Linked DNA regions of Styela clava. The protein of the gene in region 2 purifies or fractionates together with the protein of the main gene of each other region. This does not show direct contact. Links are inferred from orthologs where the notes say so. Each region holds a gene or a part of one and is shown on either strand. Other genes may lie near its edges.

Region 1 (7,196 bases), on a different chromosome or scaffold from region 2:
ATTGCCACCAGGTATATTCATGTTGAAGATAAGTGAAGCACAACCGGTGTATAGCAAAACATCGGCAAATAAAATCGTTTTGCTATACACCGGTTGTGCTTCACTTATTTTCGACATAACTAATCCCATACCCGACATGAACTGGTAACAGGACGAGAGGCCGTGGTTCGCCATATCATTAAGCCCAGGGGCGGATTATGTCCCTTTGGTGCCCTAAGCACTGAAGACTTTGGTGCCCTCTTATGTGTATTTTAAATTATAAAAACAATAAACTACATAAGTGTATCATCCATCAAAAATTATTACAACCAACAGTAAATAAAACAACTTTTACGAATATTTTTTAGGTTTTTTTTTAACTGGTATACATAACCGATATATATATATATATATCGGCCGTTTACTGCCGATATATTAGCCTATATCTGCAAACACGCAATATCAGACCGGTATAACGGTTAAGCTCTAATCCTGAAGAAGTTCGACGATGAAGATTCATGCGTCCAATCTTATCGTGAATCGAAATACCAAAGGATACAAAACAAGTCACAACTGTAGTTTGAAATTTTACCGGTACTTAGTAGTCTACCTCAGGGTGGTCCAATATAGCGAGAAGGACCACAAAAACCTTTTAGAAGGTCACGCGGGCCGCAGTCGAAAAAAACAACAAAAGTGACCGAAATATCGCGACTTTACTTACTTTAAATTCAATGAACAATTAGAGTTTACCGTTCGATTCAGCCTATTATTATGTTGCATGGGTTGCGTTCTTTTAAAGAAGATATATATAAAGCCTTCAGTTATTTCGAAATTAATTACCGAGAATTATCGTTGTATTTTCCGCATCTCGCGTTTGGGTTTATAATGACGCTTCAAATTATATTCGTTCGTGACAGATGTTACTTACCAGAAGCTGTGGTTTACCGTTGTGGTGGGCAAGAATACATTTTCTCCTTGTTTTCTTTATGTCACCTTTCTTTTGACACTCATTATATTACGAATTATTATGACGCTTCAAATTATATTCGTTCGTGACAGATGTTACTTACCAGAAGCTGTGGTTTACCGTTGTGGTGGGCAAGAATACATTTTCTCCTTGTTTTCTTTATGTCGCCTTTCTTTTGACACTCATTATATTACGAATTATTATTTTTGAGTAATTTAAAAATTTGCAGCGTGAGCAGGCTTAACGCTATTGTCAAATAACAACCAAGTTCGACAAATTGGTATTTCGGGACCTAGCCCAAGATAACCTGGATTACGCGGCGTTGAGACAGAGATGGCCCTTATTTTAAAACAGAGGAGTGTTTTTCCTAAAATAAAGGCACAAAATCTCTCTCCGAATAAGGAGTTACCCGACGCGAGTTGAGATGAGAAGTGCGACCCATCTCATCGGTTTGGTCCTGTCTGCACAAGGCAATTCATTCTCATTGTACCGATCACAGCTCACAGGACGCCATTCTCATATTGGCATCGTCTTGACGTTTATAAATACAGCATTGAAATTCCGTGACCTCGACAAGCATAATTCCCGACATTGTGATTAGGAAACGAGTTTGAATCTAGGGATCCCACCCCAGTTGGAATAACTAAAAAAAAAAAGTTCAGGATTTGTCAAGTCATGACAGGGTTTGGACCATTCTGGTCTACCTTATCGAAAGACTCCCGACATCGCTGACCACTAGATCGTTGAAATGCGATCACGGAACCACCATACCGTGCAAATAGTCCATTGGTCCAATAGTTTAAAAGAGAAGAAATTTATTTAAACAAAAATGCATCAACAAGGTGAATACTAGGGGGAAAAACAACAAAAATTTTTAATAAAGAAGGTTAATATGATACTTGAAGACGAGAAATGAGCGAAAATTTTGAAGTCTGAGTTGTCTGCTAAACTTCTCTTACCCCTCTTTGCTTGGTGCCCCAAGCACGTGCTTATATTGTTCAATGGGTAATCCAGCGCTGATTAAGTCGTCTCATCGACTTCCCTCTCCCCTGCGATAAATATGTAAATCCTATCCTACTTTTTGCATTTTGCTGATTGGCCAATGTCACAAAGTAAACAAGGAAGCCGATACTGGGGGACACATCCATAGATCACCAAAATCTGAAAGCTGTAACATACTGTAGCGAGACTTTATTTTTGTGTCAAAGGTCGAGGAAACCGCTGGAAATAGTGCGTAAAGTATTGTACTGCAAGCCTATCACTAAAAATGTATTCGGCTGCTCCGTCTGTCCGTGAGGAATTTTGAATAGAATAGGGGTTTACATTTTAATCCTGACGCAGAGGAAAGTATATCAGGCGGCTTGATCATATGACGAACCACTGCCTCTCGTCTGGTTTCCATTCTGGGTAAGTAGTTAGCCAGGTAATATTTGAAGTTGATACCGTACCGGTACCGTACGGTATTACTGTAATACCAGTCATAAGCAGATGAATTAACTTGAAAAAAAATTCTCTTTACACTGCTACATGCATTTTTTAAATGGTAATAAGGTGGTGTAGCCAGTCTGTTGACGATTTCATTCAAATCGCTAAAACGAATATTTCTAATCCTGTACCGGTAATCCGTTAATTTTTTCACCGTAGGTGCATTGGCATTTATTCTACACGCTAAACCTCGAATTACGACACTCTGAAAACACATTTGCGACCGAACGACCAGTGTGCGACCACGAGTTTCGAGCCTTGAACATCGTTTCTACTGCGTCGAGACTAGAGCATACACAGCCATGCGTGAAAAAATTGGGCTTCTAATTGTATTTCTGACAGTCATATATTTCAAGAACATGGTTATTTCGAACAAAACTCATCAAATTAATAAACAAAGCACCGCATCCCAGCAATCAAACAGACAAAAACACGGTGGTCGCAAATTGGTCGGCAAAGATATTGGAAATGTGCAACCCCTATTCTCCCTCCTTTAAATGTAGAAACGCGAAACTTTAAAGATGGTTAATAAAAAAACACAACTCTACCCACCTGCCAAGTTCCATCTTTTTATCTCTCATATCTGTATGGATTTTCAATTATTTTTTAAAGAGACAATGGGTAGTTGGCGACATAAAACATGATTGAAAAAAAAATGGTCTGTTTTTTTCTTCGGTCGGGTTTTCGGTCGTAACTTTTTTGTTTGTGGCCGCATTTTAGTGTAATTTCGCAGAGCTACGGGGGATAAGTGGATGATAACGTGTGAGAAATATCGTCGCAGTTTGTTAATTTTTTCGGCATTAATTTATAGACTGTTACGGTATAGTCTAATCTTTATGGTGAAAAATCTGGATGATGAATTCTTCCATGAATAGCCTATATAGTCTAACATTAACAATTAATGTAATGATCGTAAAACTTGTCAATAACTTTATAACATTTAAGTTATATTCTTTCTTCATTAAAAAAAGACATACCTGCAGGTCCTGCATACAGACATAAGATGAGCAATGTCAGAATGTTGTCAGTTGCCAAGTCCAGAAGTGAATGCAAATTTCATGGTTAAGGTTTGATGTGGTATTAGTCATAGTCTATCTTGTTCAGTTTTTTTAGTATGTCCAACTGTTAAACTGCTAATACTTTAAATATTTAAGAAGCGCAATCAAAATACAGGATTTTTAAAATGGCGGCTGTTAATTCAGTAATTTATCTGAATGAAAATATAGTCTAATGTGTTTTTGTTTAGTTACTTTAGAACAATTTAGCAAGGAAAGCGAGATAGAGGTGTATTGTATTTCATTCACTCTGCCACTTATCCACCAGCTAAGGCAATATTGAAATGTTTATTATGACTTTTATTTCACCCATTCAACTATATTATGTCCTGAAATTGTACCTACATGATGTGCTTTAAAAAAATAAGCTACGTCTGTACGTTCATAAATGGCATTCAACGTGTGCTATTAGTCCGAAAGTCAGGACTTTAGTATACAGTAGGCTACTTTCTGAAATAAAGTGATGAATTGTTTGCATTTGAACAACAAATTTATGGTCTAGCATTTCGAGCTGTTTTTGATTGAACTACTATGTTTAGATGAACTGAAGTCTTTAGCCTTCGCAATTCGATTTGATCCAAAGGATTCTACCTCGTTTTTCAAACATGGTTAACATTAATCCAGTAAGCTAAGACTTCACATCCATGCTCTGGTTCTACAGTTGTATCAATTTCAGCTAGACTGCCATATTTCACAGTGTTTACCTTTTGTATATTTAGTGTGTTGTTATTTATTTAAATATCTAAAGTCTCTAGCCAAAACAACATAAGAATACTGCCGCTTAAGTAGAGATATTGTTTGACATTACTATCTTTGTCAGTGAGGAAGTCATTCTTGAATATTGCACAATGGCTGGGAGGCCACCAAGCTCAATGCGAGGAAGGCCGCCATCAAGTGGTGAGTTTCAAACATTTCTTGTGTCGCTGCAACATCTTTTCTGTTTTTATATTACCTTATATAAGGGCTATTCCAAGTGACTCTACAGGACAATTCCAGAAATTTTGCATGTTGTTAGATTGTAGCATTGCCAGCTACATGTTTTGTATTATTGTCCAATCAATTGCTCTATGGGGTTTGAACATACCTGCACGAAAGTACACACAAGACTTACTTAATGGATATAAAATATATGTTAAAATATAGGGTGACTCTACAGGACAGCAAATCCACCATGCATTAACATTTCGTTATGTTGTGTTGTAATCGTCAATGAGATTGTGAAATAAACTAAAAAGAAACGTAACCTAAAATCACCACACTCACTTGGAAAGAAAATATCCGATCTATCGAATGAAAAAAAAAATGAAGTGTTTGAGATTAATGGGCAGAAAACGACAGAAACGAGTTCCGATGAATGATGTTACTGAATTTCAATCAACACATGCTGACGAACGTCTGGCCTCCATAGACGCATCAACTTTGCTTACTCACACATACTAGATTAAACTAAATTATTTTGGCCCGCTGCCTGCAGGTTGCACAACCCCTGTTCTAGAATATATCCGCTAATTCGAAATCAGAGAAATGTGCCGTACTGTAAAATGGTATTGAATATGCTTAAATATGCATTATTTACAACAATCTCATTGATTTTTTAAATATTGCAATTTGCAAACAATAGTTTTCTTGCTCAAGCGATTTGAATGATTTGACTAACAAACGATTTGATTAATTGCCATCAGTTATAATTAAAATATTAATATATGTGCAGTGCTGTGGGGTCGGAACTCTGTCATTTAAAAAACAACTTTCGACTCCAGGTTGGCGGAAAAGAATGCAATTTTGTCTCAGGGTCCAACTTCAAACTCCATTCTTTAATTATCTGTTAGGGTCAACTCAATGCTTTATTCGAAAATTTTAACTTGAATATCGCCAATAAAAAAATAGAATTACAGTAAGTTTCGAAACTTCCACTTCAGAATCTGGAGAGGAGATTCTGGCTCTGGCACGGACTCCAATATCAATCAAAATATGCCAATCTCTTGCCTTCATGGCCTTGTACATATCCATCATTAATATTTTGATTTTTTTTATACATCCCTATCAAATAAATTATCGATATATATGTTTTACTTATTGTTTTATGCAGGTATGGGAGCAAGACCACCGATGGGAGGTAGAATAGGCACAGGAGTGAGTAGTACCTTTTGATGTTTTTTGCTGCTTTTTCATTTTCCTCTTCTTTATGTAGACTTCCTAATCGATTAATAACCATGCAGAAAGTGAGCTTGTTGTGAATCAAACGACTAACAGTAATTACTCCTTCACATAATTCTTAATTGGGAATGAACTCGCAAACTATCTGCAAGCCTGTTGACAAGTCAAGTTAATGTCATGTACTGTGTACATTTCAGCAAGTTCCTGGTACTGGTCGCCCTGGTACAAGGGGAGGGCAACCGGGCATGACATCCACTGTTTTACCTGCTGGAATTAGAGTAGCGGATCGACCAATGACACAGCAAGGTCTCGGTGGAATGAAAACAGCAAGTAAAGGCCCCCAACGACAGATACAAGACAGAACTTATTGGCTTGGAGAAATACGGTAGGGTATTATTAAGTATAATGAGTTATATTTGAATCATTGTTGATTTTTTCGCAACAGTAGATCGTAAGATCGTAATCAGTATCAGTTTTCAATCTTGGAGGGAGCACAATTGCTAACGCTGATCACTTCGGATATCTACCGCTAATGCCAAGCATGAGCTGTTTATATTTAATCAATTTTTGAAAGAAAGTCAATTGTGTGCCGAACCAGTTGTGGCAGCTTTGGACAATAATTGGTGACCATCTATTCTTTATATCTCGACCATGTCTGATCGCTAGCGATGAGAAAGACTTAATTTGGTTCCTTAACTGGTATCGAGTGTGTTTGTTTGCAAAGTTGTTAATATTCTATTCTCTTAAGTCTTGATTTTACTCTTTATGTACTGCTTATATTTGCAGTTTTTTGAACCAATTCATTTGGTGATTTTTTCCATTACTGCCTTAACTACTGTAATTATATTATCCTGTTTTGTATTTCAATATCACAGTGCATGAATTTCAATTACCGTATTTCCCGGCGAATAAGTCTACCCAGTAAGTAAGATGAGGCCCGTTTTTAAGCCTGAAACAATGTTTTTTTGCCTATAACCTCCCAATAAGACGGTCAGTAAAATCACATCAGAATCGGAATCTCAAATTACCATGCAAGATAACCCATAATGACTTTTTCTTGTAGCGTAATATTCAATCCATGACATCTATGGGAATTTTAACTGTCTTGCTAATTCTTTATCTCTAATTAACGACAATAAATATACATATAAAGTGTACGGTATATATGAAACATACATACATAATCATCACCTCGAAATCTCCACGAAACGAAATGTGTTAATTGATTTATTTGTGATCAATTTAATCTGCGATTGTGACAATATAAATAGTATCACTCCAAAATACCAACACAAACCGTGCACATAAACATGTTCGATTATATGTTGTTTTGATTCGTATTTTTACAAATTGAACAACTTAAATGAGCTCTTGCTGCAACAATTATTCCGCTTCATCGCAAAGCTGCCACTCATTATTTTGAGGAAATCGACGTAAGAAAAATTCTACCGGTAAATTAAAATCAGTTAAATGCATTCCAAAAAATGAATTAAATTACTTCACATTAATCACGGTATTATAAATATATCATAGTCGCGTCAGGCCCTGTCGGT
Region 2 (7,195 bases):
ACCTATGATAGGATACACCTGAATAAATGGAAATTATCTAGATGACAATATTTACCTTCCCCACTGGAAATTACTTGACCTCAATGCTTCTTCAGTCAAACGATCAAGGATATAACAAACATATTCTCCACATCCTTGCTTCAACTTGGATGGTGGAAAATCAATCGCGACTCCCTGAAAATTTTCAAGAAAGAATAAAAAATCACAAATACAATATTTAGTCTCTCCACGATTGAAAATGTTTAATTATGATTTAAAAAATTGTTATACATACCATTCGTTTTACTTCTTCCAATATACTTGATATAGTAGCATTGGGATCATCAAATTCTTGTGGCATGTCAAATGGACGACCAATGATGTTAAGAAGCCAGGCAGAAATTGAAGTGAATGCATGAAACTGTTCACCAGGATTTGTAGGGACCGCAAAATAATGTCTGTGAGCAAACCAAAAGATGTCATAAATAAAAAGAGACAGATGGCTTGTATTCAAAAACTGAAATATGGTTCGAACAGCAAATGTACAATCATTTTTGTGACTGCTGTTAGCATCATTGTAAATATTATACAAAAGTATGTGTGAAGCGAAATTACAAACTGAAATTTTTGACCCACTTTATAAATTGCAATACGAGATTACAATTATCACAATCTTTTATTTTCACCGTCAAAAAACCCTTTGAGTATTGACCAAAGATTTTCTGAAAGTCCCCACCCATTTCATAGCTGATAATACCTTGTTAGAGGTTTCATGTTGTTTGGCCTCATGAAATTTTCCTCAAAATTTAACAATTTCAGCTTATCCAGCAAATCTGACATCACTTCAAATACTTGATATGAAGCACCTGTTAATTGGAATGTAATTAGATAAAATCGAGATTATTCAAATTCAGGATTTTGTACATGGACCCTTAACCAAAAATTTATACCCAACATGACTAATAAAGTAAAGTTACCGTACTACCCACATCTACAGACCGACAAGTAGGAATGTTACAAAACGCACATTTTCGCAATAAAAAATGTACGCATCACTTCTGCTAGGTACCGTTACCGCCATACTTGAGTACCGCATATAAAAACGGCTACGGATTGCCAGCGATAGTTAGTGTTTCCATGAAATTTTGACATAAATTAGATAAAAAACACGACTATGACCTTGTTTTTGAATTTTTCCATTAGCGCAAATATTTCCTATCATGCGAATCTTTTAAAAATACCTTCCAACTTAAACGTGCTACAAATTAATGATCCCGTCTAATGACACCTATAAAATCTATAATGACACGCGTGTCTCTTTCTTAACTTGAAACTTGCCAATTTTTGTGAAGTTTGCTCGATCCGAACATCGTTAATTATTAGCCGGAACGAACCACTGTTCATTTAACATACCCACCTCCGACTTTGAATTTGCGACAATCCGCCGATGGCCTCATTGACCGTTGCCAGAATTAAATTATGAAAGAGCCTTGATATTTCATAGATGTGACGCATATCGAGAGATTAGAGATTAATATAGAATGTTTTCCACAATAAATAAAATTCTCTAAAAAAAACAGAATTTGCAAGCGTTTTTCGAAAACGCTACGAAATATTTCAAGACACGTTTAATACTATCTTAGCGTGAGTCTGTCAACTCGCAGATAGTTATCGACCGAATTGTCGACATCATCTCGGGCGCTGAATTTTCTCGTTCTGAGTTTTCGTAAACACAGTAAATATCTTACGTGCAGGTAGATTTTAAATTGTTCAGTGAATACAGTCAGATATGGAAGCTTTAAATCAGTTTATTGACTTCGAGAAATTAAGACATTTTCTTGTACATAATTAATTAAAAAAGACTGTTATTTCATTGAAAAGAATTTGTAAAGTTGTTTTATTTGGTTTATATTTTCACGTTATCTTTTCGTTCCAAATTTCATTTGATTACCTTCCAAAATAGCGAAGATAGAAATTGTTATTTATCGGTCTCACATTCTTGCGGTCACAGTTTTTGAGCCAGCGTAATGCTAACCTTATGGAGAAAAATTGGCCTATCGGGCGGTACTAAAATGCCGATATCTCCGTTAATTCTTGACCGTTTTTCGCAAACTTGGTATTGTTTTCTTATTTTGACTTAGATCCATCCACTGACGCAGTTATTATTTACCGAATTTTTCGGCAAATAAGTTGCTTTTCTAGACCCAAATTTTCGGCCAGATTTGGGGGGGGGGTCGTCTTATTAGGCGAGTATAATAATTTTAATTTGTTTGGTGTCGCCTTATTATGTATTAGGGAATGTTCTTTTATGGTGGAAAAAATCGTGAGTTGAACACAATTAGATGAAAATTTAAAGAGTTTAAATTCCCGTAGTTATTATGGATTGAATATTACGCTACAAGAAAACGTCGTTATACCGGTAGGCTATTTTAACCAATGCGCAAACGCGGTGACCGCTCAAAGGGCATTGCATGGTAATTTGAGATTCCGATGTTGATGCGATTTTACAACCCCGACTTATTGGCAGGTTACCGGTACCGGTATATGTAAAAACCCATTTTTTTAGTCTTAAAAACGGTCCTCGTCTTATTGACCGGGTAGACTCATTCGCCGAGAAATACGGTAAATCCGATTGACTTCAAATTTTTTTTAACATACCTACGACAAGCTGACAAGTGAAAACAACACACAAATCATACCGGTACCGTACCGTACCTGGGCCACGGTCTTCATCTTCTCCGCCTCTTCTAACGTCATCCGTCATTATACTGCCACAGTGTACCCAAACAGCCCTTGAATATGAGAGGTATTTGATCACCGAAGACGAGGAAATGTACGAGAAGCCCACTTCGTTCTGGCAGCCGTATTGGACAGAAAAAACTTGGCACTTAGTTAGTTTTGATGCTAAATGTAGCGGTTAGATGGCCCGTGAATGTTTTTCTGACCTTCAACCTCAGAATTCATTCAAGTTCAAAATCACCATTTCAATTCAAAATATTTAACTAATTGACAGTAAAAGTATTGACAGTCAATTTTATATATTAAATGGACATTTCGGCGTAACCGAGAAAAGATTTGAGCGCCTTATCATGCATAGGGTTACCATATTTTTGTGACTTCAAATCGGGACGCCTCAAAAAACAATGACCCCCTAGCTGTGATTTTGTAACTTTACATTTTTCGATTTTACTACATAGGCCTAAACATTCCTACTTTCAAAGCTGTCCCGGCTGGCTTTATTGAACATATTGTTATCGAAATTTCATGCGCATATTCGCTGTCCAAATAATTCGAATTTGGACTAAGTAATTAGTATTGGTTTTACATGCGATACGTCTGCTACCAATGGGAATCAGCGGGAAACAAACGCATTCACCTTCAGTAAGTAGGCTAGCGCCTCGCTACACAGCAACAACGGTAACAAGAACATGTTCGTGTAACATGCTGGACGCAAAAGCGGGACTTTTGGCTGACCTGTCGGGACGGCGGGACAAAACGCTGAAAAGCGAGACCGTCCCGCCTAAAGCGGGACGTATGGTAGGCCTAACCATGCATACAACCTGCCAAAACTAAAACTTCTTTCTACAGTTATTGTCACAGTACATTTTACCATCAATATTATAATAAATCATGGTTCAATCAATTTGGACGTGGTCACATAACTGAAATATAATCAAGCGTCCTCCATGCCCCTCACATTTTCTTTGCGCGCTATTATCACAGTTTAGTTGTTGTACTATGGTTCATCAGATCAGGAGACCCAAGATTCGGATTGGTTATTCATTCATTTTTTTATTTTTCTGATTAAGGATTCAATCGTTTATTAAAAAAAATAAAGACAATAATGATAAATAAACATCACACATAATTACATACAAAAACAAGAGAGCTATGCTCAAATATATGGACCCGTCAAAAGGTGTCGCTATTTCTTTATTCTGACGCATAAAAAACGAATCTCTTGAAGTCCACAGAAATTTTTGAAATAAGTAAAAGTAATAGCCTTCTGGCGAAAAAAATCAATCTTTAATCACTGAAAATTTCAAAGCAATAGGTCCAGTATTCGAAGAAAAAAGCGATTTTATCACGACGAAAGAAAAACAAGAACAACAACATAATATTGAAACGATCGTTATGTACACTGACGTGTCCAACAAGAATATGCATCAACGGCAATTTCAGTTATCCAATGTTTCACCTAATATTTCCAAACAATCCATAGTGTTCCACTGTTGTATTCGCCATGTAGATTTCACCATAGTCATCAGTGAATTCAAGTCCTTATGTAAAACCGTAAATATATACTACTACTAGATGTCCAACTCCGCTCGCCCTATAATAAACAAACAAAGGCGATGTTGCACCTCCAAGTGGCGGGCGTCACGGTTGGTTTTGTTCAGACAAGATGCTTAACGACGACGACGCTCCTGCATAAAAAAACTACCCTGTTCATTGATGACTGATCGAAATATTTGCTGAAGGACGAAGAAATTTGATAAAAATGAATAAATAATTGTGAAAATGAAGACAAAGTCTGTCTTGCAAATGACCAGGATGATGTGACAACTTCCTTGTCGAAAGAAAGCAAGGCATCAAAAATGCGATGCATTGCAAAAAATGTCAGTCAGATGTAGGTAAAGTAGTGACGAAAATGAATACTTTGCACTTTATATAAAAAAAACGCTTGGTAGCACAGCATTTTGGTCTCACTCCATCTCAAGTATTGTAGCTTTCACAGTAGTTTTTTCTCCACTTGACCTATAATCAGGGCTGCCACAACGTCCTTATTTTTAGAATTTGTCCTTATTTTGAAGATCTTTGTTTTAGGAAATATTTTTGCAATTTGCTTATAATATATTAATGTTAAAAAATATTTGGCGAACCGGCAGCAAGGTTGCCGCGGACCGGCGGTTGAGAACCACTGATTTAGAAGACTTTTATCTTACACTTAAAAGGGGGTCTGACAGATGTTTGGTCCAATGTGGTATATCACATGTTGAAGGTACCAGTATTTGGAGCCCTTCATACGCTGGAGAAGCAATGAAATGTTGTTGTTTTTTAAATATGACTACAGAATGTGTTGCATGTAGCTGTATAGCATTTATTTTGTTAAAAAATCCTTGAGATAATCACCTGTTGTAGACTTTCAGTGTGTAAAATAATTAATGAAATTTAAGCTGATCTAATGCATATTTTGCTATTTGCAAAACTTGGCGTTGCTTCAAATTCAGACATCTCCGAAATCCTAGCAACAGATGCAGGAAAAAACCTACAAAGAAAAATTTCCCCAGTTCATCTGTTATTAATGACATGAATACTGTTGGTAATTTCAGAAATAATAATCATGATACAAGTATTTAATTGCTCAATAGGAGATAGAATAATACAAATGAATTAATACCCAAAACAATTCTTTGTGCTATACCTGTGCTTAATATTTAACAGACATTTTTATCGAGCTATTGAGTTAAAAATGTTGGTCTATTAGTTTACATGGCTGTTTCAAATGTTTTTTTAGACATATCTTCATAAATTCCGTCTAGATGTGTTTCCATGCCAAAACCCCATCTGATTACAGCAAATCATTCTTCAAAAGTGAGTTTCGAGACGTCTGCAAAAACTTATATTTTAGTTACGATATTTTGGAATAAATTGCCCACAACGATCGAACCTTGTCTACCATCTAAGCATGTATGTGTTTATATATAAGTATAACAGCCACTTTGACAAAATATTATTTGAAACAAAAATGTGAATACCCCACAAAACAAATTGGAATTAATAAAATGTAACGGTTCCAGGAGAAATATTAATGCATTCAATGAATGTGGTGGATTTTGCAGTAGCAAAAAAGTTATTGCTATTGATCACAAATCAATAATTCAAAAACACTCGACAAAATAATTCAAAACTTTTTGGCACATCTAAAATTATAAATATATATATATATATATGTTGAAGCCATGTTTAGATAATAGCAATAATAGATATCCAATTTATGTGAAAAAAGTTATTAGTACCAGCCTGAAATCAAGCAAAATGGGTTATCATGACAAACGTAAAACACCTCTTAGCTTGTAATATGCAGCTGGTGACTTCGTATACAATGACAGAATGAGTCTGGGAAAAAATTATCAAGATCAGTAGAACTCCATCATAAAACACTAATTAATTGAAGTTAAAATATGTGTGTTTAATTTATGTTTTTCATACAGACGTCACAATTTCAATCACCCATCAGTCAGTCAATTTATATTCTTGTTCACTGCTTTGATCACACAGCATAAATCCTCACACTGCAACTTTTTTATGATCCGAAAATACACATATCTCTTATCAAAATTTACATTCCTTGACAAATCATTACTGGGTACCTATAAGAACATTTACAACTTACTCTTTTTTTATGCTGAACAATCGTAGCACGAAGCGGCTCTCTACTAGACTACATCTACTCATGGGAGCTTTAAAGTGAATTTAAAATCTTACTGCCAATGTGCTTTCGAGTGCTGAACCGGTCCTAGGGCCTTCCCACTCAATTGATTGTTCCTCTATTTTGTTTTGTAATCTGCATTCTATCAGTTCTATAGTCAAGTATATCGTGTAATATTTCATGTGCACAACTAACTTGAATGTTTATAAGTCACTCACTTAACCTTGACGTGAGACAGCGCCGTCAGAATACAGAAAAACGGAGGAAGTCGCACGATGATTTTCGAAGCAATAATAATCTGTCAGCACCAAGTCAAGCGTGTCGGCGAATTCAACACCGGGACCAAATTTCCGGAGATACACGGGATTGGTAAAACAAAATTGCTGTCTCGATTTCTCCCCATTTCTTCATGCTAAAGGAAATTTTCTAATTCTCCTTTTAACATTATACTTGTATTAGCATTCTAAAAGGTCAATATATTCGCTCCAATCATATTTTATTTTTTACATTAAACAGAAGTTGCATGAATGGATTATAATGAAAATGAATAAATGTGAATACCGTAACACTTATTATTTTCAAGTTATTCACAATTTTTCAACTGATGTGCATTTTCTTACAATTGGGACCGCGTCCACAGGTTTCAAGAACCCTTCTAAGTATTCCTGCAATTCCCACAAGAGCCATCTTTTGTAAATATTTCCAATATATTCGGAAATCTATATCTTTTAAATAAATTTATAGCTCGTGTAAAACTGCTAAATCTTTGTCCAATATTGATAT
Region 3 (7,157 bases), on a different chromosome or scaffold from region 2:
ACCTGTGGCGCAGTCTCGGGTCTCAGACTTGGATTTTCGATGACACGTTTAGTAACGAGCTTAACACTGGATCCCTTAACTACGATGCTGACTGGGCATATCAAAAAAACTGGTTTTGGAAAGCGCTGGAAAGAAAAATATTTTTCCGTAGCACTTTGGAATGTTCGACCCTCGTCGCTAACTTCCCTCCATTTCCCAGACATTTTTGAACCTCAAACATCAAAGTTAACCACATTTGGCCAGCGGACCGCAGTTTGCCCCTGCCTTATAACAATCAAGAGACAAGAGAAATATTTACAAAAATAGTTTCATTTCAATACGTGCAACAGTATAAACTAATTTAATTATACAAAATATAACAAACACTCAACACAGTATTATTGAATATTATAATGAAATGCTCATTACATGACTAAGGTACACAAGTTACACAACTAATACTTTTGGCCACTTTTAACTACATAATTGTCATAATTATCTTCTGCTTTTTAAATTCAGGAGAGCAATGCTTTAATAATAAATTTACATGTCATATCATAACATGGCTAATGCCAGCTAAATTTGAGCGATCAAACGTTAAAGCTGTACTAATTATCACATTAAAGCGTCGTGCCCATGAATTATAAAATTATAAAAATTTCGGATACATAGTGAGTCTTCTTACAATTCAAAAGATAATTGAACAAAAAAACTATAGAAGTACTATCTTTTAAAACTGAACCAGATTGGTCCATTAGTTGCAGATAATAGCTATTTTTTCACAACAGCAACAGCCCTAAAAACCCCAACAGCGACAATTATTAAAAACGAAGCATAGGTACTGAGTGCACTTGTGTCCAAATAAAGCTATAAAGACTTTTAAATAGAGATTCCGGTATTGTGCAAAAATGGTGGGAATTTCTTGACAATGAGTTTTTTTCCTATTACTGTTACGTAAAAAAATTACAACACAAAATTACACAACTACATCAGACATAGAGAGTTTAAACAAAAGTTATTCGAAAGACCATATATTGAGCACTTCACCAGTGTAATATATATATATATACATGGAACAAATATTACCACTGAGTGAAACTAGCAGAGTTTGATATAAGTGACAATCTAAAAATTTCCAAAAAAAATCATGACAAAAAGGTTGATTAATACACTTCTGTTTTTTTTCTCTTTACGAAAGTAGATCAAGCATTCAATGCTGATAAGAGTACGTGAAAGAATTGTAGTGGGAGGCTTAAAATTCCCCATCGTCATCATCAATAACATCATGATGACGTCTTGGGTCGCCACCTGCACCAATCGCTCTTTCTCCTGCCATGTCATCAAGGAAGTCATCACTATCGTCTCCTGTAAGATCCTCATTATCATCGACAACACTCAGATTGCTGCTTGACAAGGTTTCTTCATCATCGTCATCATCACTCCCTTCATCACCATACATATTATTTCTTGGACCCACACCAGCAGGTGGTCTGCTTGGTCGGCTTGTTTGATGGTATGCTGGACGTTCTCCTTCCATACTATCCTCCAAATCGCTTCCTCCCTCATCCTAAGATATTGAATACATTGTTAGAACAAAACATGTCTATTGATACTGAATTGAACAAACTTGTTTAGAAATTTCCATGTTGAATAAATGGCTAAAACAGACTACTGTACAGTTTGAGCATCAAGTTTTTCTTTATAAATGCTGTTAAATTAGAAGATCAAAATGCCAAATGGAATTCAGCTTGCAAATTAGTTTTCCTTTGTGTTAAAACCCACTAGGGATGTTGAAATTATGTATATATACATTTCTAGTACACAATATGAATATTGTGTATTATTGAATTGATTAGTGTATTTATTAATAACTAGATATTATGTTAACAGTCTTTAACTCTATATAACATTTCACCCAGTACACCACCAACATTTTTGTTGCTGTTTTCTTTTAGAATTACATATCACAAATCATATACATCTGATCCGAAACTTCATACATACCATATCTTGCTCCATTTGATCCATTGCAACTGTGCTCAAGATTGTTCTTTTTTCTTCTTCTCTCAAACGATCTTGCATTTTTTTCATTGTTGATTCAGTTTCTTCCATTCTCATTTGTTCTTGTCCCTTCAAGTCTTCCAACTGCTGTTCAAGATGAGTCATATTCCGGAATTTATATAAGTAAGATTCATATTGTATTTTGAGATCTTCTTCTAGTTGCTCGAACTCATCCATAAATGCAGGTCGCACACTTTCCAGTGTTTTAAGTCTCTTTTGCGATCTTTCAAGTTCGGTTTTTCGTTTTGCAATCTTGGCTTCTAGGTTAACTTCATCAGAAGCAATATTGTCAAGCATGTGTAATGTTTTTTGTACTTCTTTCTCAACCGATTGAATACTAATACGCAGCCCTTTTTCAATTTCATTTATTTCCAAAGGCTGAGCTAAAGCTGTCAATCTGGCTTCTCGCAAGTCAATTTCTTTGCCCAAAAGGTCATACAAAAGAGCACCTCTTTCAGTAATTTCCGTTGAGAGTTTTCGTACAGCTTTTAAGTCTTGTATTTTTGAATCAATGTCGAAAGACAGAGATGATGCGTCTCCAGAATCGTTTTCTTTTCCATCAGATGAATGTGTCGATTTCATTGCACTGTATAAAACGCTAGCTATCTTTACAAGTTCTTTCACAGCATACCCATCAGCCATGTAAAGCCTTTTTGTGTTCAGTTTAATATGAGCTTTCGTAGCAACAAATTGTGAGGAAGATTTGATGAATATAACTCTGTCTTGTTCAGTATCAGTGTCTGTGGGTAGAGTAACATTTGGATCATACCTTTGTACAAGCCATAGTAAGATTTCGGCTACTAGAGGGAAATTTGGCGTTCTAAAATTTTCGATTGAAATCATTCTTGGGTATCCAAGAGCCCTCATCATTTCAGTGAAGTTTCGTAGATCACGATAAGACATATTTCTGATGTTTGCACCTTTCCTAAAAAGTTCTAGATTATGATTTACACTGCAAAAACAATTTAACATTGTGTCATATAAAAACAAAGTTAAGATAAATCAAGACAAATTGGAAATGAAGTTACCATCTTATGCTCACTGGATAAAGGATGAAGGAGGCAGGTGTGATAGATAAAAAATATCTGAAGCATTCTCACTGTAAACTCCAAAACAGGTTGCTTACACCTCCAAAGATACATAAAGAAAATTACCCAAGTCTGCAAGTCGTCCTATAACTGTAAAATATCACAACAAGTGGCACAGAACAGAGAAACTTTAGGCATATAGACTATGAACTATATGCTGACTCTCCTCATCATGCAGTCATGTGTAAGCGAGTTATACCGTACGGTACGGTACTGTCATGTGTTCGAGACAGCATGGACTGACAGACTGATGGATGCGTGGAGGTTTTGTTTGACATCCTCTGATCCTGATTCCAGGATTCTATAATATGATAATCATTTATCTCCCTCTACCTGTATTTATTTGTAGATCAGTATAGTACGGTAAGTTACTGTACAGCCGTATGCCTGTATGTAGTCTACTGATGTGCAGATGTACGGTACCAGTACCGATGTGAGATGTCTAGGCTACCTAACTGGGCCCTACTAAAAAGGTAGGTATCATAGGTATCACTCACTAAAAAGGTAGGTATCATAGGTATCACTCACTAAAAAGGTAGGTATCAGTAGTAGATGACTAAAAAGGTAGGTATCAGTAGTAGATGACTAAAAGGTAGGTATCAGTAGTAAATAACTAAAAAGGTAGGTATCAGTAGTAAATGACTAAAAAGGTAGGTATCAGTAGTAAATGACTAAAAAGGTAGGTATCAGTAACAGGTTAGGGTTAGGCGATAATTTTTTTCCAATTTTCCTTATTTTAGTCCTATTATCAGTTCGAAGACTAGCCAAGGGCCTCCCGTAGTATTTATACCTAAAATTATGGCCTAACCCTAACCTAGTACACATATTACATTCCGATGTCCGCCATCTCGGTTCGCATACTTCGGGAGCCCCCTTTTTTAGTCATCTACTACTGATACCTACCGGTACCTTTTTAGTTATTTACTACTGATACCTACCTTTTTAGTCATCTACTACTGATACCTACCTTTTTAGTCATTTATTACTGATACCTATCTTTTTATGGAGTGATACCTATGATACCTGTGATACCTACCGTACCTTTTTAGTAGGGTCCACCTAATTGACTTGAAGTTCCTACTGCCTTTGGACTGTATGGATTATGGACATACTGACATATAATACAATTTTATTTCGATCTTATGATACCGTAACTAAGCGCAGAGAAATAAAAGTCGTTATCATCCAAAGATCGTCATTACTCTACATGCAGAAATGCGGGCTCTAGCGACGTCGTCTATTAAATCCAAGATAGGAATTTCACCACCTGGGTTACCCTGGCCGCCAATTCCCAGCATCCAATTCTGCAAGAAGATAAATCGTAAACCTAATTCTGTCACTAACGTGGCACGATGTCATATGAAGAGCGGATGTCATGAGATCATCGAGATGGGAGTTTGGTTTATTTATTATACAAACTAACGTTCCTGATCGGAATTTAATTTTTTATATGTTCCCACGTGTCCCATTTTTTTTTTATTTATTTCAGAATCTTACTTCGGAAAACAAAAACACTATGCATTCAACGGTATTATTTGCCGGATTTCTGTCCAACTTTGATTTCGTTTATTTATTATATGTTCCCCATATTGGAATTTTTTTAAATTTTGATATTTTTTGCATTACAACGATAAATACTTGCTCTAGAAAAATATTCGTTAAAGTATTTTTCAAACTTGCCGTAAATGACTACCGAAAATTGCATATTTCACTCTAAAAATGGTTTTTGCTAATTTATTATATTTTCCCCAAATCGGAATTCTTTTAAATTATGATATTTTTCGCATTACAACGATAAAGTCTTGCTCGAGAAAAATAATTGTTAAAGTATGTTTCAAACTTGTCGTAAATGACTACCGAAAATCGCATATTTCACCTTAAAAATGGTTTTTGCTAATTTATTATATGTTCCCCAAATTGGAATTTTTTTGAATTTCGATATTTTTTGCATTACATCAATAAAGTCTTGTTCTAAAAAAATAATCGTTAAAGTATGTTTCAAACTTGCCGTAAATGACTACCGGAAATCGCATATTTCACCCTAAAAAGGTTTTTGCTAATTTATTATATGTTCCCCAAATTAGAATTTTTTCAAATTTTGATCTTTTTTGCGTTACATCAATAAAATATTGCTCTAAAAAAATAATAGTTAAAGTATGTTTCAAACTTGCCGTAAATGACTACCGAAAATCACATATTTCACCTTAAAAATAGTTTTTGGTAATTTATTATATGTTTCCCAAATTGGGATTTTTTTAAATTTTGATATTTTTTGCATTACATTAATAAAGTCTTGCTCGAGAAAAATAATCGTTAAAGTATGTTTCAAACTTGTCGTAAATGACTACCGAAAATCGCATATTTCACCTTAAAAATGGTTTTTGCTAATTTATTATATGTTCCCCAAATTGGAATTTTTTTAAATTTCGATATTTTTTGCATTACATCAATAAAGTCTTGCTCTAGAAAAATAATCGTTAAAGTATGTTTCAAACTTGCCGTAAATGACTACCGAAAATCGCATATTTCACCTCAAAAATAGTTTTTGCTAATTTATTATATGTTCCCCAAATTTGAATTTTTTAAAATCTATGTATTTTTCGCATTACATTAATAAAGTCTTGCTCTAGAAAAATAATCGTTAAAGTATGTTTCAAACTTGTCGTAAACGACTACCGAAAATCGCATATTTCACCTTAAAAATGGTTTTTGCTAATTTATTATATGTTCCCCAAATTGGAATTTTTTTAAATTTCGATATTTTTTGCATTACATCAATAAAGTCTTGCTCTAGAAAAATAATCGTTAAAGTATGTTTCAAACTTGCCGTAAATGACTACCGAAAATCGCATATTTCGCCCAAAAATGGTTTTTGCTACTTTATTATATGTTCCCCAAATTAGAATTTTTTCAAATTTTGATCTTTTTTGCATTACATCAATAAAATGTTGCTCTAGAAAAATAATCGTTAAAGTATGTTTCAAATTTGCCATAAATGGCTACCGAAAATCGCATATTTCACCCTAAAATCGCAGACCTAAAGATTTTTATAACGCTGATGTCTTGAAAATAATCTTGGGTGGTATCGGTGCAATAAAGCGGAGTCGGTATTGCAAGAACAAATTTGTAGAATTAATAACATCGAAAAAGTACGAATCAAAACTAAATATAGTCGGGCAGTTTGGAACACTTTTTATGACCGTGGATTTCCGTGATTTACGTAGTAATGTTCTTATTTTGTTGACGCAACCGCAGGTTACATTAAAAAGACAATTAAATAATAAAGCAAGACATTATAAATAGACTCGGATTAGTCGCCAATTGAATACTTTGCGCAACTGCAAAATCATCACCCGACAACATATCAGAAAATCATCCATCAAAAAAATGGGCTTTTTTCACAAGTGGCTTGCCTGATTTCGGCGACAGTTTCATGGAAATTCTTCGGATTTACACCCCCACTCTTCTGATAACTCCGACAGCGCCCTTAAACCTATTTCAAATTCAAAGTCTTACCGAATCTACCTTTATGAAAAATTCTAGTTAATAATGCTTCTAAAGAGTATTTCGAGATATTTTGTACAAAGCCTCCATCATAAAAACACCACCGCCTCCGCTAAAAAATATAAATAATCCAGTTACGGTTTTAGGGTGATCGCTAGGAATGCAGTATGCACCGGAACTTCAAATTCTCAAATTATTCCGAATGCGCAACTGGATAAATAAATTTGGTATTTCACAACGTGTTTTATTAAAATTTCACATTTTTGCATTAGTGGCAAGAGATCCGTATTTCACCCAGCCTCCGGATACAGAAATTATAAACATAATATAAATTATCCCCCATTGACGAAGGCTTTGTACAAAAGATCCGTATTTCGCTCATGTAGAAATGTAAAAAACGCCGTTATGTCAGCGTAACTAGGCTAAGACAAAGATTACGCACTTGAGGTAATAATTAAATAGTATCGTTATCGGTATATCGGCTTTTTTCAGATATCGTTATCGGCGTTTCTAGTTGGTATCGGA
Region 4 (6,635 bases), on a different chromosome or scaffold from region 2:
ATTGTAAAAATTCAAAGGAAAATCAAACAGTGACACTCTGGTACTCCCGAAGTATGTGTACCAGGTTTGGGTTCGGCCATAATTTTGTTCAGATTTTCCTTATTTTAGTTCTATTACGAGTTCGGGTACTATCTGTGTTAGACAAGTGAATAAACCCCCTATAGGTTTCAGTCTCTTTACACAACTTGAGGCAAAGTAGGCGAACAAAATCACGGTAGTTACCGCAATATTGGAACACACACTTCTGCAGCGCCAAAACTCTTACCCAAACAGGAAGGCAATCTGCAACAAACTCTTTATATGAATTTGAGCAAATGGATTCCTTATTTCCTGCAGACGAATTGTCTTCCAAACATTTGAAATATTTATCCCAGGAATTCCAGCATTTCCCCCGCTACTCAGCTGTTGGTGTAGGTCTGCCCATTGGGTATTTATCCTATATTATGTTTAATCCAGTTTTGATGTCTTAGACTTGAATGGCAAAATTTTAGCTATTACTACACTATTATAAATCTTTTATCTAAAAATATACATAAAAAATTATACAGTGAAATTCACACAATAATAAATTTACCAAAATACAGCACTACATAAAAATAAAGTACCGGTACCGTACTAGTATTTTTGTCCCACCACTAAGTTTCTGATCTGTTATTATGTTGTTGTTAGTATTTTTCTAGTTGTTTCGGAAAAATGGCTTTTCTCATTAACTACTTATACTCGAGTTACAAGTCATCAGTCAGTCATTCAAGTCTGAAGTTGGGTCAATAACTCAGCCCACTGACAGAAAATCGAGCCCAAGACATATCAATTATACGTCTTGAGTCACTTTTATGAACAGTGACTCTAATCCAACTCGAGTCAGGGCAATAACCCAGCACTGGCCAGAGAGAGCCGAATTTCATCCCCACAATTTCTAACTTATATTAACCTAACCTAAGATAAACAGAATTTGAGAAAAATAGAAATTTAGTGGTGGGACAACAGTATAGCACCTAATATTCTAACACAAAACAATACAAAGATTCCATAAAAATCCACAAATTATTTAGAAAAGACGAAAACAAAATTAGAACCTTCAAATATGAATTTGTACATGTAAAAAACAGCCAGATGTAGCCAATTATCCACCTAAGCTGCATAAATGATTAATACAAATATGAAAGTAAAATTATATACTGAGAAGGGTCATGTCCTACAGAGAACTTATTGAAGTTACAGTTTGATTTGGGAATGCAGGAGAGTTATGATGAATAATAGTTTGACCATCTCTTCTTTTTTACAGTTTTTCAAACATTGAAATGAGGGTATTTTGGTCAAGCATATTTTATAACTTAAACTTTTCAAAATTATTCCTAAATTCTATAATGCAATATAATAAATTGAGAGTTGACATTTATAGACAACTCCAACTAATCCAATTTTATTTCGGGGAAAGAATTTTACCAAAATGAATGTATTTTTCAGTTTAGTCCAACTCGACTTCATATTATTACGAATATAGTACTATATTATTATGCGCTTTATCAACAATACCAGTATTCCTTTAGGCAGGTATGCTTTGTTAATTCTAACCCAGAAAATAATAAAACAAAGAACCATAACAGTAAGAGCTTATTTTTTGTCATAAACGGTCAGAATAAAATAGTCTGAATGAGAATGGAGCTAGTGCTGTCTAGTTCCGGTTCATTGAACGTTTCGTATCAAAGTTGACACTATTAGTACTATTTACAAGTAATAGATATAAACAGTTATTCTAGCATTTGTACATTTTCTCGAGAGTCTTGATGATGGTCTGCAAACTTTTGAGCAAGATATTGAAAAGGTGCTTCAATTCCTTCATTGCCTTTTGCAGAAACTTCAAAGTACGTCATTCCCAATTGTTCGGCAAGTTCTTCACCTTCCTCTGTTGTCACCTGCCGCCTTAGGTCCAAATCCACTTTGTTACCGATGAGAACGCTCGGAATATTTTTTTCCGGGTTGATATGTTCTTTCATTTTATTCCGCCAGTTTTTCACACGGTTAAGCGACTCGATGTCCGTAACATCAAAAACAACAGCAAGCATTCCAATATCGTCCCAATGTTTTTCACAGATTTCAGAAAAAACATCTTTTCCAGCTGAATCGAACATAAAAATATCGACAAAATCACCACGTTCTCGAACAGGAATGACTTTTTGACAAACCTCGACTCCCGTAGTCATCGTGTAGTTTTTTGGAAACATCGTCCCATCGCTGTGAAAAACTTGTGTAATCGCACTTTTCCCGACAGTACAGTCACCAACAATGACACATTTTGCTCGTAGAACTCCCATTTTATTTTTTCCGTGGAAATTTTCAATCACCAATAGGTTTGATATTATTAGACACTAACTATATTACACAATATTAATTAAAATACTATTGTAATAATGCAAATGAAAAATATTTCAGTGCTGTGCATTTGAAAGACTGTGTGGGTCAATGCAGTAGGTATGTGGAGAGAATTAGTATGTGACGATAATAAGGCAATTAAATTACATTACTGGTATACCTAACAATGCTTTGCTTCTGTTTGTGAATGTATCTTTAATTTTCACATGGTGATGAATAAATTATACTAATTATGCTTACTTACAGTTATATATTTCAGATGCATGACGTAGCGTAGCATAAAATTTTTTTGACACAACCCCCACCTGACTATGCCATCCAAAAATTATGTCACTAAGACATAACAATCACGTCATAGAGCTTGTCAATTTCATGCACGATCGCCCGGAATGGCATTGATGCCGACGATAAAGAACTGACTAACGTCTGTGATCTCTCTCCTATCGGGATCGTTGCAAGAAGAAAACGAGAGAAATAGCTGTTTGAATGGCTTAGTCAGGTAGGGGTGACCGGTAAGAACTGACATGTCCATTCGGATCTGACCACCGTGGGGTGCGGACGTGTTGAACGATGGGATACTCTTTGATCTGGAACTCTGATCGCAAATCTATGTGGTACCGGCAATATTATTTAGAAGGAAACCTGGTATATGGAATGGACACAGGAAAAGATTTTATTCAATGTTCTTGATAAAAAAAGAATGGAATTCATATCGGAGCTACGTGTAAGGGCGACGTCTACAGACTTATCTGGGAATGTGATATCCTTAAAAGAAGCTTACGGTAATCATAAAGAAATAAAAGTTATCGAAGATCAGACAATATTCACAACTGGATTTTCAAGCGTTTGACAAAAAGAGATGTTAGTTAAGGATATTAGCCGACATGTCTGCATACTGAAATTTTGATTCGGTAAAACTGGTTAAAAAGAGGTAATTTAATGACTGACCATCATAGGCAAATGCTCGAGATTATGAATTTTTAAATGAAAACTTTGTGAAATTTAACCATTTCCTTAAAGTTTTAAACAAAAAGCAATGCCCGAAACTAGTTTTAGAGTTTTTAAATTTGTTTGTTTACTTTTTAGCTTTGTTTGTTTACAAAGAATATAAAAAACAGTAGCTAACACTAATCACTTAGATGTGATTTTTAGGATTTGCATTTCGGCACATGCACCGGCAGTCCGGCACACACCGTAAATCTCACTCTTCTTATTCCGCAATTTTCACCACTTTTACACACCAAAATTATATACAACTGTAGAAGTAAGTAGCCCGTAAATATTACTTTCTTGTGTTCATGTATGCTGTTTATAAATTTATTCATTTTTTCAGTTATAGATTGTCGTGATGTGTTTTTCCAGTTTTGTGAGTGTGGGTGAATGGGCACAAACACTGGTTACAACGTTTGCTATAAACCTTTCTCTAAGTTTTGCCCAACTCCCCGTCGTCATTGTCTGAGCAATTTTTTTGTGTGCGTTCTGTGTTGTAGACGAAAGATCGAAATAAAATTGTATGCTACGCCCACTAGTAGTTTAGTATGGCACACTATCCAAATTCCAAGAATTTCCCTCCATTTGGTTCAATTAAACAAACACTCAATGTGTCTCACAAACAAGGGGCGTCTGGTCTCAGTATGGCGCGGCGGTGTGGCTCAACGGGCTAAGCGTTAGCCAGTCTGGATTTCATGGCCTTTTTGAACGAGAAATCGGGCGTGCAATCAGAAATTCCCGCGTGCAAATAAGAATTCCTGGCGTGCAATTATAGCTCACGACGTGCAAAACAACTGCACTCGCGTGCAACTGACTTTGACATCAGATACCTCTCAATACATCCGCGTAAAATTACCGGTATCGGATAAAAATTACGTTGAATCAGAGAAAAAATGGACGTTTGACCTTTGACCCCAAACATTATTTCTACAGTTTGTCGCTAATTTTGAGAGTGTTTGTGCGACTTTGGATACCGGTACTGTTCAGTACATCCGCGTAAAATTATTGGATAAAAAATACGTTGAACCAGAGCAAAATGGACATACTTTGTCATTAATTTTGGTAGTGTTTTTACGTAGAATTAATGGATGAAAATTAGAGCAAAAATGGACGTTTGACCTTTGACCCCAAACATTATTTTCATACTTTGTCACTAATTTTGGGAGTGTTTGAGCAACTTTAGATACCGGTACTGTTCAGTACATTCGTGTAAAATTATTGTATGATCAGAGCCGTACTTGGCCATTGGTGCGGAGGCGATCTTTTCGTCCATAACTATTCTCACGGGATTCCTATTTCCTATCATTCAACACGATATGGACCTTTCCCCGAGCATCGACTTCCTTGTTTACTTTGTGACATTGGCCAATCAGCAAGATGCAAAAAAGGACGTAACAATGAGAGGAATTTTTCGCGGGTCAAAGGTTGGGGAAAGGTCCATGGTCTTTTTGCTTCGCAATATTTCGATCAGACCAAATCTTGCAAGCTGGTATTTGTCGACAATCGTGGAGGTATAATATTTTGGCATCTTTATATTACTGGATTATTGATTTTAAAACCATTTAAACCGATTTACATTGGTGAGCAATTGCAAATTTTCGGCGTGCAAAATTGATTTCGCTCGCGTGCATTTTTGCGGAGCGCTAGCGCCCTCGGGCGTGCACCTGCCATGGAATCCAGTCTGGAGCGTTAGGAATACGCTCACCACAGCACCTCAAATTACTCTGCGTGGGTTCGCATCCCATGCAGGGATGATCATGTGCGAGAGGATTGCTGGACTCCTCGCCACCGTAGGGTGGTTCATGTATGATGTAACCGATGGTCGGTTACCGGTTCCCCCGCCATCAAGTCCATGCTTCCGAAAACAAATAGCTGGCTAACTAATCACATACCCGACCTGGACTGGTAACCGGACGAGAGGCCGTGGTTCGCTTATCGGCTTTCCTCTCCCCCGGGATAAATATTTAAATCCTATCCTATCTAGCTGTGACACCCTATGCGCTATGCCTATGAATAGTATGACAGTATGAACTGTTCAGTTATCCGACATGGACCGGTAACCTGGCGAGAAAGGCCGTGGTTAGGTACGGTATACAATGAGCCATGTTATCGGCTTTTTCCTCATAAATATGAAAGTCCTATTTTGAAATTCCTAAAACCTCCAGCTTCGAAACAAAAAATAGTCTAGCAACGCATTCACGTTTAGGAATGCGGCTGTCAATCACAAAACTACCGAGTCGTTTAAAAAGGTTTGGAGTCATAAACTCATATCCGGAAGAAAATGGCTCGCTGCAAGCACGAAAAATAATCATTCACTGAACTTTGATATCAAACGCGTTGTTTATGCTATTATACTGATTACGGAGTTGGAATAAAATTATACTCATATGATTATCCGCGTTTTACACGGTATATATTGCTGAATAGTGTAAAACCCAATCGGAACCTAGTTTAAGATCACCCTCCTTAGCGGGAATTGTGTAACCAAATTGTAAAAAAGATATTATTTTCGGTTGTTCCGTTATTTCATTCTGTTTATGTTTTGAAATCAAATTAAATTTTTTAGGTAGTCTACTGAACTATGAACTCATTACCTATTCAAAATACGCGAAAAAATTGAGTCAACTTCGTCAGAAAAAATAAGTAAGCAATTAAGTGGGTGTCGTTATGTCAGTTGACGCGTGATCATATTTTATTTAAATTACCATTCAATGGCGCGGTAGAATTGGGACAAAATAAATTATATACTGTGGTTTGAGAATAATTCTAAATATTAATAAAACCTTGGCATGAAAACAATTATGAAGATCGCCAGTATTCAAATTTTTCAACCGGATTTTTTAGGTTGGTCAATGGCAATAATACTGAGATACACCTCGCATTCAACCAATGTTTTATAAAAATGGGGTTCTAGAATATCCAACGTAGTCTACTAACCTATAACCTATATAGGAACGACAAGACGTCAAACGGTTGAGTCAACTGAAAAACATGTTTGAGTGGGTATTGCGCATCATATTAGTGCGTGATGATTTCAAAGTTGTAGGTAAAACTAACGTTCAACCGTGCTTTAATTACTAAGTCCCGTTCATAAATGATATTAAAAACAATACAACCCATTATCATTGAGTTATGACAAGAATTATATAATTTAATAATCATAACAATCCGGGTTAAGGTGAGCCGGGCCTTTTAAAAAAATTTAAAAAAAGTTTAGAATGAGATTTTAGTGAAACAGTTTAACTAACAAATATATTTAATTTATCTGCTCT

The links.
Region 1: the proteins of intraflagellar transport protein 57 homolog (region 2) and intraflagellar transport protein 74 homolog purify together in Homo sapiens (affinity purification with mass spectrometry; 3 studies listed by BioGRID and IntAct, counting the BioPlex papers as one, with this or other methods). This does not show direct contact. The link is inferred for Styela clava from reciprocal best matches to the Homo sapiens genes IFT57 and IFT74.
Region 3: the proteins of intraflagellar transport protein 57 homolog (region 2) and clusterin-associated protein 1-like purify together in Homo sapiens (affinity purification with mass spectrometry; 4 studies listed by BioGRID and IntAct, counting the BioPlex papers as one, with this or other methods). This does not show direct contact. The link is inferred for Styela clava from reciprocal best matches to the Homo sapiens genes IFT57 and CLUAP1.
Region 4: the proteins of intraflagellar transport protein 57 homolog (region 2) and intraflagellar transport protein 27 homolog purify together in Homo sapiens (co-immunoprecipitation; 3 studies listed by BioGRID and IntAct, with this or other methods). This does not show direct contact. The link is inferred for Styela clava from reciprocal best matches to the Homo sapiens genes IFT57 and IFT27.

What each region holds. Positions count from the first base shown.
Region 1 is NC_135260.1:21,842,456-21,849,651, forward strand, and holds the start of intraflagellar transport protein 74 homolog, read left to right. Parts: upstream 1-4,187; 5' UTR 4,188-4,334; coding exon 4,335-4,383; intron 4,384-5,575; coding exon 5,576-5,619; intron 5,620-5,840; coding exon 5,841-6,028; intron 6,029-7,196. UniProt on the Homo sapiens protein: Component of the intraflagellar transport (IFT) complex B: together with IFT81, forms a tubulin-binding module that specifically mediates transport of tubulin within the cilium. Binds beta-tubulin via its basic region. Required for ciliogenesis.
Region 2 is NC_135253.1:4,226,679-4,233,873, reverse strand, and holds the start of intraflagellar transport protein 57 homolog, read right to left. Parts: upstream 3,024-7,195; 5' UTR 2,744-3,023; coding exon 2,695-2,743; intron 846-2,694; coding exon 737-845; intron 438-736; coding exon 275-437; intron 175-274; coding exon 56-174; intron 1-55. UniProt on the Homo sapiens protein: Required for the formation of cilia. Plays an indirect role in sonic hedgehog signaling, cilia being required for all activity of the hedgehog pathway.
Region 3 is NC_135250.1:18,041,273-18,048,429, forward strand, and holds clusterin-associated protein 1-like, read right to left. Parts: upstream 3,012-7,157; 5' UTR 2,944-3,011; coding exon 1,984-2,943; intron 1,547-1,983; coding exon 1,232-1,546; 3' UTR 292-1,231; downstream 1-291. UniProt on the Homo sapiens protein: Required for cilia biogenesis. Appears to function within the multiple intraflagellar transport complex B (IFT-B). Key regulator of hedgehog signaling.
Region 4 is NC_135255.1:20,072,470-20,079,104, reverse strand, and holds intraflagellar transport protein 27 homolog, read right to left. Parts: upstream 2,425-6,635; 5' UTR 2,316-2,424; coding exon 1,752-2,315; 3' UTR 514-1,751; downstream 1-513. UniProt on the Homo sapiens protein: Small GTPase-like component of the intraflagellar transport (IFT) complex B that promotes the exit of the BBSome complex from cilia via its interaction with ARL6. Not involved in entry of the BBSome complex into cilium. Prevents aggregation of GTP-free ARL6.